Coturnix japonica: one gene and its partner. The protein of the gene in region 1 interacts with the protein of each later gene in a biochemical or structural test. Links are inferred from orthologs where the notes say so. Each region holds a gene or a part of one and is shown in the gene's direction. Other genes may lie near its edges.

Region 1 (4,226 bases):
CAAAAGAAGACAGCGTTAAACATTAAACAAACACATGCTAAGATTCATCTGTGTATTTCTCCCAGCTGACTTATTTACTTTTCTAACACAACTAAAGCACACATGCTCCAACCAAACTCAAAAGGCCATTTAGGTGACTACCAAACACTGGGTAATGAATCATAGAATCATAGTATCACCAAGGTTGGAAAAGACCTAAAAGATCATCCAGTCCAACCGTTCACCTATTACTAATAGCTCCCACTAAACCATGTCCCTCAACACAACATCTTCCCTTGAACACTCCCAGGGTCGGTGATTCCACCACCTCCCTGGGCAGTGCATTCCAGTGCCTGACCACCCTTCCTGAGAAGTAATACTTCCAAATGTCCAGCCTGAATCTCCCCTGCTGTAGCTTGAAACTATTCCCTCTGGTCCTATCACTAATGACACGAGAGAAGAGGCCGACCCCCAGCTCACTACAACCTCCCAACATAACTCAGGAAGTTATGGAGAGCAATGAGGTCCCCCCTGAGCCTCCTCTTCTCCAGGCTGAACATACCCAGCTCCTTCAGCCTCTCCTCATCTGCTTGCTGTGTACAAATTTCCAGTTCCTGTCACCCTCCAAAGCATATAACCAGATCTTGCAGGGTGTCACTGACTTATATCTTATTGCATAGGAATAATTAAAAGCTTTGTTTTAGGACAAAAGCATCCCCATACCTCTTTCACTCCCCGTTTGTACCAGTCTCCTGAGGAGCTGTACTGCTTCTGCTTCTCTGGCTGAGGCCTCTGATGCTTTAGCGTAGGTCTTTTGGAAGGATCTATGTACCACGGGACCGAAGATATGTACTGAGGAATGTGAGGGTTGATATCTCTGTAAAAGGAGATATGAAATTAATACACGGCACAGGAAAAACCACCGCACAATTTAGCTTAATTAACCTCATGTTAAGCTCAGCTTCACAACTCTGTAACCACATAAGCCTACTTTACAAACCGAGCTGTGTTACAGAACTTACTTTCCTTCCTCATCCACCTCAGCAGGCGCGTTCCCCAGCTTCCTCTGCTCCTCCAGCTCCTTCTTTTTCCTCCAATCCTCCCTCGTCATCTTCTTCGGCTCCTCCATACTCACATCTCCCGGCCCTCCCGAAGGAGCCGCGTTTACCGCCGTCCCAGACGCCATTTTACTTCCTCCTAAAACACTAAAAAACCGCACGCGTTCCGAACCGAACCGATCCCACGAGCCTCCCCCCGGTTACCCCTCATAGCCCAGAGCCTCCACCCAGCCATACCGGGCACAACGACCACCCAACACCCCAGCAAAGCCCACCCGGTCCCGCACCTCCACTCCCTGTTTACCAACTAGGCCGCACCGAGACCCCGCCCCTTGACTGCCAGGGCAACGAGGAGCCGGAACTCGGTAGTCACCAATGGGGCGGCTGAGCGTTAATCGAAAGCGGCCTATGGGAGCAGCGGGGCGGGTGTAGAGGCTGGTTGTGCTTATCGCTATCCCTGCTCTTCTCCTCGCTCTGCTGCTCCCAAATCGGCTTTTCCCGCAGGTAAGTGTGCTGTTTTTCCTCCATGTTTTCTTTCTGGCCTGTTGAGCGATCCTTCTGCCCTAAAGAAGGGCGGGCCTGCGAGGCGTTGCTTGGCCGCCCAGTGCACGGTGCCGTGTTATCAACCGCCATATCTAATACTGGCCCTGTGCTCAGTCCAAGCTGCCATCATCATTCCTAGCATACATCAAAAACTTGCTGTTTCTATTAGCAAGAACTGCCAAGATCTTCTGTCTGCCTTTCCAGGGTGGTCTCATCAGCCCAGAGATGACGACGCTGATCTTTGTGGATAAGGAGGATGGTGAAGTTGGTGCTACTAAGAACCAGTTAAGACGCCCTTCGGTATCATGTGAGTATATGCTCCATGGAGACAGCGTGGGATGGAGTAAAGTGCGTGTCCTGGGTTTTGTTAATCACTGTTTTGAACAGGAACAACAAAATGGGTTAAGCAGATAAATAGTAAAACTAAGTTTATCAGCTATTACAAATATGAAAATCACCTGTCTTTTGAGCTTATACTTTTGATCTAGAAGTGGAGAACAACAATTAGCTTTCTAGCACACACACTTCATTAGAAGCAAGCTTTAGGGTTGACAAGGTGCTAAAGCTTGCTTTCCTTTCCTGTCTGCAGCAAAAGCCTTATCAGAAAGAACACAAGTCAATACTCCACTTCTAAAAAAAGCAATCAGAACTCCAGCCACATCTCACTCTGTCAGAAAGGCTCTTGGAAATGTGAACAGAACTGTAGGAGTTACAAGCAAGAAGGAACAGAAGAAAGATAAAAATCAGCCTTGCAGTGCAAAGAAAGTGAGTACAACCCTTCTGTAATGGATGGGAATCAGAGGAATGCATGATGTACCTACAACAGCTTAGGGAACACACAAGGGCAATGAAGTAACTCTAGACAAAATATTGGCTGTGTTACTGTCTTGTTCATATTCTATTTAGTGGGAGTTTATTGTTATGAGCCTAAATATCATACTGCAGAGATTTGTTGCCACTGTGTACCATCATACAAGTTCAACTGAAGCATTTTCCCTTTTGCAGCTTATTTGTATCAAAGGTGTTAAAATCCAGGTTTACAGGCACAGAAAGGGTACTACACTGAGAAAACACGACAGCACAAATAACTTGACTTCTTCATTTTAAGGTTGCTGAAAAGGCTGTTGGATTAGCAAGCTGGGATGGAGGGGGTGATGAAGCTTACCCAGAAATAGAAAACATGTTTCCTTTTGATCCTCAAGGTAAGAACTCTTGGGGTAATTATTAAAACCTAATTGGACTTTGATTAAGTGTTGATGCTGCAAGACTTCCACTGAGCTGTTGTGGTGACTAAGCTGGTATTACATTTCTCCAGAGTCCTTTCTTAAACATAAGGGCATTCAATATTTTGGAAGCATGACCTTGTTCTTGTTTGAGTGTTTTAAATATACGTATTGCTTGATATAGTTGACACAGCATAGGGATTAGAAAAATTCCTTAAAACTCTTGCTTTATAATGACTGTTACATACACTTCAGATAAGCATTAGCATACAAAATTGCATGGACACTAATAAGTAACTGTAACTAAGCACTCCATAAGAAGGAACTGTTGGACTGAGTTGTCCTGGAACTACTCCCATTTCACTTAATCAAGGACAACTTGCAGCTTCACATGCTATTGTGCGCTGTTACTAAACTACAGCGTGTCTTTCCTAAACAGACTTTGAGAGTTTTGATGTTACTGAAGAGGATAAACTAAGTGATATCAAGCTGCGTGGTGTTCCTCTCATGATATTCCCAAGTACTTATGACAAACCTGTGGACCTAGCTTCTTCACCTATAAAGCTTGAAAAGATGCCATGGGAGTCTGGTAAGTGGAAAATTAGCCTGAGGTTCAGCGCATATTAGTGATTTAGGAAGGAAGTGAGTTTGTTGCAGTAGTGAACAACTATTGCTCTTGTAAGTGCAAGAGCAGGATGCTTATCTCAAAGAGCACTCTGTATGTAACTGAGCTGAATTTAACTGGTCATCTCTACTGGCATGGGTAGTGGTCTCGAAGCTGCACTGCCATGTAACTTTCTGTAATATATTTCTAACTCATCATAGCCATTCAAGAGGCTTATGCTAATCCACCAGCAGCCAGCTGGAGTGTAAACTTCTGGATTTTATGAGTAATTGATCTCCTCTATTTCTAACTTTCAGACTTGCTAGAACCACCTGCTGACTTCATCTCTACGCTGGATTACGTCATTGATATGCCGCCTATGGACTATGACTTCTAAAAAGCATACTCTGAAGTTTCTGTTGAATTTTATGTTTATAAATAAAGGTTACTTTAACTTGTGAAATAAAACTTACCTTGCTTTTTCTTTCAGTAGAGCTAATATGCTGCACACCCAAGATGTAGGCATTTTACTATCTGACAGGCTATTAAAACAAAACTTAGTCTTGCTTAAAAGCTCATCTATAATTCAGTGTTCTGAACTGTATCCAGATATTAATATATGAATCTTCAAGTCACAAGTATAGATTCAATTTCTTAGCACTGTTATTGTTCTAGTTCTTTTCAGTAATCATGGAAAACAAGTGAGGTTTAGAGGTGGCATTATTCATAGTTGCCTGCTGTTACCACAGTGGATAAAAGTTGGTTTGAGGTGCTTAATGAAAGCTGGAATATGGGGGCCCTCACTACAAGAAAGACAGG
Region 2 (4,207 bases), on another chromosome or scaffold:
ATATCAGAGCATGGTGCGTGTATTAGGGTGAGTCCTGAGTCTCCCCTGGGCCGGGGAAGGGCAAGGAGCACCATCACACAGAGACCTGAATGCACAGGAGGGGACTCTGCTCCTCATTTCAGTCTGCAGGATGACCATGTTTCCTCTCCTCACCCCTTGGCTTCTCACCTGCTGTGACTCTGTCCCCTAATTTCAATAAACACGGCTTTGTTTGTAGGACAGGGGGTCGTGGTTTGTATCTCAGGGAAGGTTTCTTTTCCAACCTGTGCTGTTTGTGGTGTAACTTTACAACACCGCTTCCAAGCTGTTCCATTCTCACACAAGTTCTCCCCAACCTTTGGGTCCTGGAGTGCTTCCTCACATCACCTTCCCTTCCAAACAGTGTCCTGGTGGGTCTGACATCCCTGTGTGTCATCACAGCCCTATGAGGTGTGTTGGCTGAGTGCGGCAGCTGGGCTGTGCCCCTCGTGTGCTGCATTGGGGTGTGTGCTGATGGAAGTCTTGACTCTTTACAGTCATTAGCAGCTAATGTGGGAGATGCAGAGGGTCCATCAGGGTTTACACAGGGTATGGCAGCTGAACCAACTTCTCTTTTAGTGCTGGATGATAAATATTCCACAAATATTTATTTATATACTTATATTTATTACTAATGAGTGAATTGTGGCAGCTGGTTGCCTCCCAACCCCCAGCACTTCCCATGTTTAGTGCAGGTCCGGCTGGGTGAGGAGGATGCCGTGCTTACAGCACTTCAAAAGACACATGTGAGAAAGGAAAATGTAGGCGACCACCTGGAGAAACTTTTATTTCTTCAAGTGCTGAGTGGGGCTTGAATGAAGAGCTGAGCTCAGCTGAATGGAGCAGGCACAGAACCGTGGGATCGTTTGAACTGGAAGGGGCCTTAAAGGCCATCAGGTCCCACTCCCTGCAGTGCTCATGGACACCCTGAGCTCCATCAGTGCTCAGAGCTCCATTCCTGACCTCAAATGTCTGCACCAACTCCTCCCCGCTCTGTCTCCCCCTGGTGTATGGGGTTCCCTATGGCCGTACCTTGCCATAAGCCGCCTCGCTCTCAGCGATGCTGTTTTCCAGCTGCCGTTTTGCAGCCAGGTTCCGCGCCGTTCGCTCGGAGCTTCGGGCCAAGCGCTCTGTGAGCGCCGCGATGCGGCTCTGCAGCCGTTCTCTCTCCGCCTCCTCCTCCCGGATCCTCTCGCTCAGCTCATCCCGCCGTGCTCGGAGCTCGGCCAGCCCTGCTCGGACCCACCACCACCACCATCACCGTGTGAGCACCGGCTGCTCGCTGCCCCCCTCCCGTCCCCGCTCACCCACCCTCCAGCAGCGCAGCGTTGTAGCCCTGCAGCGTTTCCCCGGTTCCGCTCATCGTGCGGCCCCAACGGCGGCTCCGCGCTCCGCCCCTTCCTGCGGGACATGGAGGCGGCGGGTGCGGGGCTGTCGGCGGCGTGGAGCGCACTCAGTGCCGCCCTGGTACCGCCCGCAGCGCTGGGGCTGGTGAGCGGGGAGAGGGGGCAAAGGGATGGGGGGATAGACGGGACGGGATGGGGGGGTGTGGGTCACGGTGCGGCCCCAGCAGCGGGTAATGGGGGTAACGGTGGCCGTTGTGCGGGTGGTTGGGCTGAGCCCCCCCCGGCACATCGCTGCCGTGTGCGGGATGCGGCTTGTCCGAGGGCATAGAGGTGGTGCTGGTCCGCTCCGAAAGTGATGCCTCCTGTTGTGTTCTGTAGGAGCTGCGATAGATACAAAGAGATGGGAGCGTAAATAGAGCAAATTGGCCGGCACTGTGATGAACGAGAGACGTGTGCTCCATTCGCTTCCATGTCAGACTGCCCCTTGCTGCCGTACGTCACATAGCAGTAGTGTATTGGTGGGAGGTTCAGCCTCGGCTGCCGTCCTACCCACATCCCCCTCTGACACTGTGGGCCAGTACAATAAAATAGGAGGCATCACTTTCAGAGCAGCCCTCGTTAAATATGTAATGTAGTTAACATATACAAGCAACAGAACTGATTTTAATCCAGTAGCTTTGGGTCTGTGGGATGGGCACAGCCCACACGTCGAGGGTCCCCCCTGGTACGTGTCTGCCTAGAGTCAGAATGGTCGGGTTGGGAGAATCCTTACAGCCCACCCCCCCCTGCCATGGGCTGCCAGCCCCGCACCGTGCCCAGGGATGGGGGCATAAAGGTCTGGCTGTGTGCTCCGTGCTCAACCTTTCATCCCCTCTGCTCCCCAGGCAGCGGGGCGCTGTGACCCGGTTCGCCCACTGCAGGATGCGGAGCTGCGGGCCGCCCTGGAGGTGCTGCGCTGTTACGGGCTGCACGCTGCGGTGGAGGAGTGGTTCCTCGAGGTGCTGCAGACCGACCTGCAGGCACACATCGCCCCCGAGTTCTGGAACTGCGTCGGTCAATATGAGAACACGGCGGAGGAGCAGCAGTGCTCAGTGCTCCTCCTGGATGCGTTTTGTCTCCTCAAGTGCCGCCTGGAGCCCTACCTGAGCAGCATGGAGCTCCTGGAGGGATGCACCAAGGCCGGGCTGCTCCTGGGGACGGGAGCTCAGACGCTGCGGGAGAAGGTGTACACCATGTTCAAAGCCATCCTGTTCTTCTCCACCACCAAACCCTTCCAGGAGATGATCCAGCAGTTCTACAGCCGCACCTTCCGGATATACATGCGGCAGTGGAAGAAGGGAGAAGAGGGAATGAATGAGTGTGAGAGCAGCATGAGTGAGGCCGAGCAGGAGAGTGACACGGAGGAGAGCGGAGGGGAGAGCGCGGTGTGTGCGGGCTGCGGCAGCAGGAGGGAGCAGTGCTGGTGCCCCACGGCCATGGAGCGGTTCCGGCAGCTCAATGACATCCTGTACGTATGGCACAGCCAAGGGCAGGTGTTGGGGCTCTGAGCACTGATGGAGCTGTGGGTGTCCCTGTGCACTGCAGGGAGTGGGACCTAATGGCCTTTAAGGTCCCTTCCAACTCAAATGATTCTGTGATTCTATAACCCTATGACAGTGTTTCTGAAGATAGGATGGCAGCTGTGTGATGTGTTATTGCTGCCTGCAATCAGAGTGCTTAAATTAAGAGCACCTGCACAGCACATGGCAGCAGGTGTGCTCTGTTAGCTCAGTTTTCTCTTCATGCTTTTGCTTCTGCTCACTCACTCGAGGTTCTGTGTCTGCAGCCGCCAGCTCAATTTGCTGGAGAGGGTGAGTGCTGATGCTGTGACCACCATCCTGCACAGGATGATCAAGGAGAGGATGGAGCGACGCTGCCGGGGTGATTATGAGCACTCCTTCCTGAACGAGTTCCAGGAGGTAAGGGAGGCCCTGGCTATGGAGATGTGGAGCTGCTCCTGTTCCTGCTGCTAAATTCCCAACTCTGCCTCAATTCCCCAGTCCTGGACTGTGACTTCCACCAGCCCTGGTAGAAGAGGAGTGGTTAAAACTTTACATTTGAGATTAATGTTAGAGGGTCTGCTCTCTCAGTTGAGGGAACTGGGCTTGTTCAGCTTGGAGTAGAGAAGACTCCAGGGAGAGTCTTGCCCAGTGTCCTTCCTCACGCCTCCTCAGTTCTCTCGCTGCTGCCTTGCACTGAGTTTGTGTCGAGCTCTTTGCTGTGTATGACCTTAAAGCTCTTCTCAAGGTTACGGCTGCTCTGGGGCACGGGCTGTGCTCTGGGACACGGGCTGTGCTCTGCACACTCACTCTGTGCTCTTTGTTCCTTGATGCATGGCCTTACGTTGGTCTGCACTGACGAACAAAGTGTGAGGTCAGGTTGCCATGCGAACCAGGCAGCTCCGTGCTGTTGTCCTGGTTTCCTCGCTGTGTGCCGTGCTGGGCATTTGTGTTGTCTGCAAACACAGGCGGTGATTTGGTGTTGGCTTCCCTACAGTTGCTGTGCAACACTTTCTTCTCTGGCCCTGCTGTAAAGGGGCACTCAGAGACAAACTCCTGGGGAGAATGGCTGGGTAAAGGTGCTCCTCACCATCCAGGTGCTTTGCATCAACGATCACACTTCCCTTTTGCTTTTCAGCTTTCCCAGTACAGGTCTGGTGCTTGGGTGCTCTGTGCTGCAGCACATTCTTCTGCCTTGTGGTTCTATGGGCAGAACTCATGCACTCCTCCAGTCCATGGTCAAACAGCTGAGCATTAACAGCAGCACACCACACCTAAAGCTGGTTATCAAAACATAACGCCGCC

The links. The genes of interacting proteins can lie anywhere in the genome.
Region 2: the proteins of PTTG1 (region 1) and ANAPC2 form a complex in vitro, tested with the Homo sapiens proteins (2 studies listed by BioGRID, with this or other methods). The link is inferred for Coturnix japonica from reciprocal best matches to the Homo sapiens genes PTTG1 and ANAPC2.

The regions. Positions count from the first base shown.
Region 1 is NC_029528.1:9,901,547-9,905,772, reverse strand, and holds PTTG1 (securin), read left to right. Parts: upstream 1-1,421; 5' UTR 1,422-1,541; intron 1,542-1,784; 5' UTR 1,785-1,805; coding exon 1,806-1,887; intron 1,888-2,169; coding exon 2,170-2,345; intron 2,346-2,688; coding exon 2,689-2,782; intron 2,783-3,242; coding exon 3,243-3,392; intron 3,393-3,724; coding exon 3,725-3,804; 3' UTR 3,805-3,875; downstream 3,876-4,226. Other genes in the region: pre-mRNA-splicing factor SLU7, read right to left, coding at 703-856, 1,002-1,165. UniProt on the Homo sapiens protein: Regulatory protein, which plays a central role in chromosome stability, in the p53/TP53 pathway, and DNA repair. Probably acts by blocking the action of key proteins.
Region 2 is NC_029532.1:1,027,164-1,031,370, forward strand, and holds the start of ANAPC2 (anaphase-promoting complex subunit 2), read left to right. Parts: upstream 1-1,407; 5' UTR 1,408-1,428; coding exon 1,429-1,509; intron 1,510-2,248; coding exon 2,249-2,871; intron 2,872-3,189; coding exon 3,190-3,322; intron 3,323-4,207. Other genes in the region: SSNA1 (Sjoegren syndrome nuclear autoantigen 1), read right to left, coding at 1,051-1,250, 1,330-1,381. UniProt on the Homo sapiens protein: Together with the RING-H2 protein ANAPC11, constitutes the catalytic component of the anaphase promoting complex/cyclosome (APC/C), a cell cycle-regulated E3 ubiquitin ligase that controls progression through mitosis and the G1 phase of the cell cycle.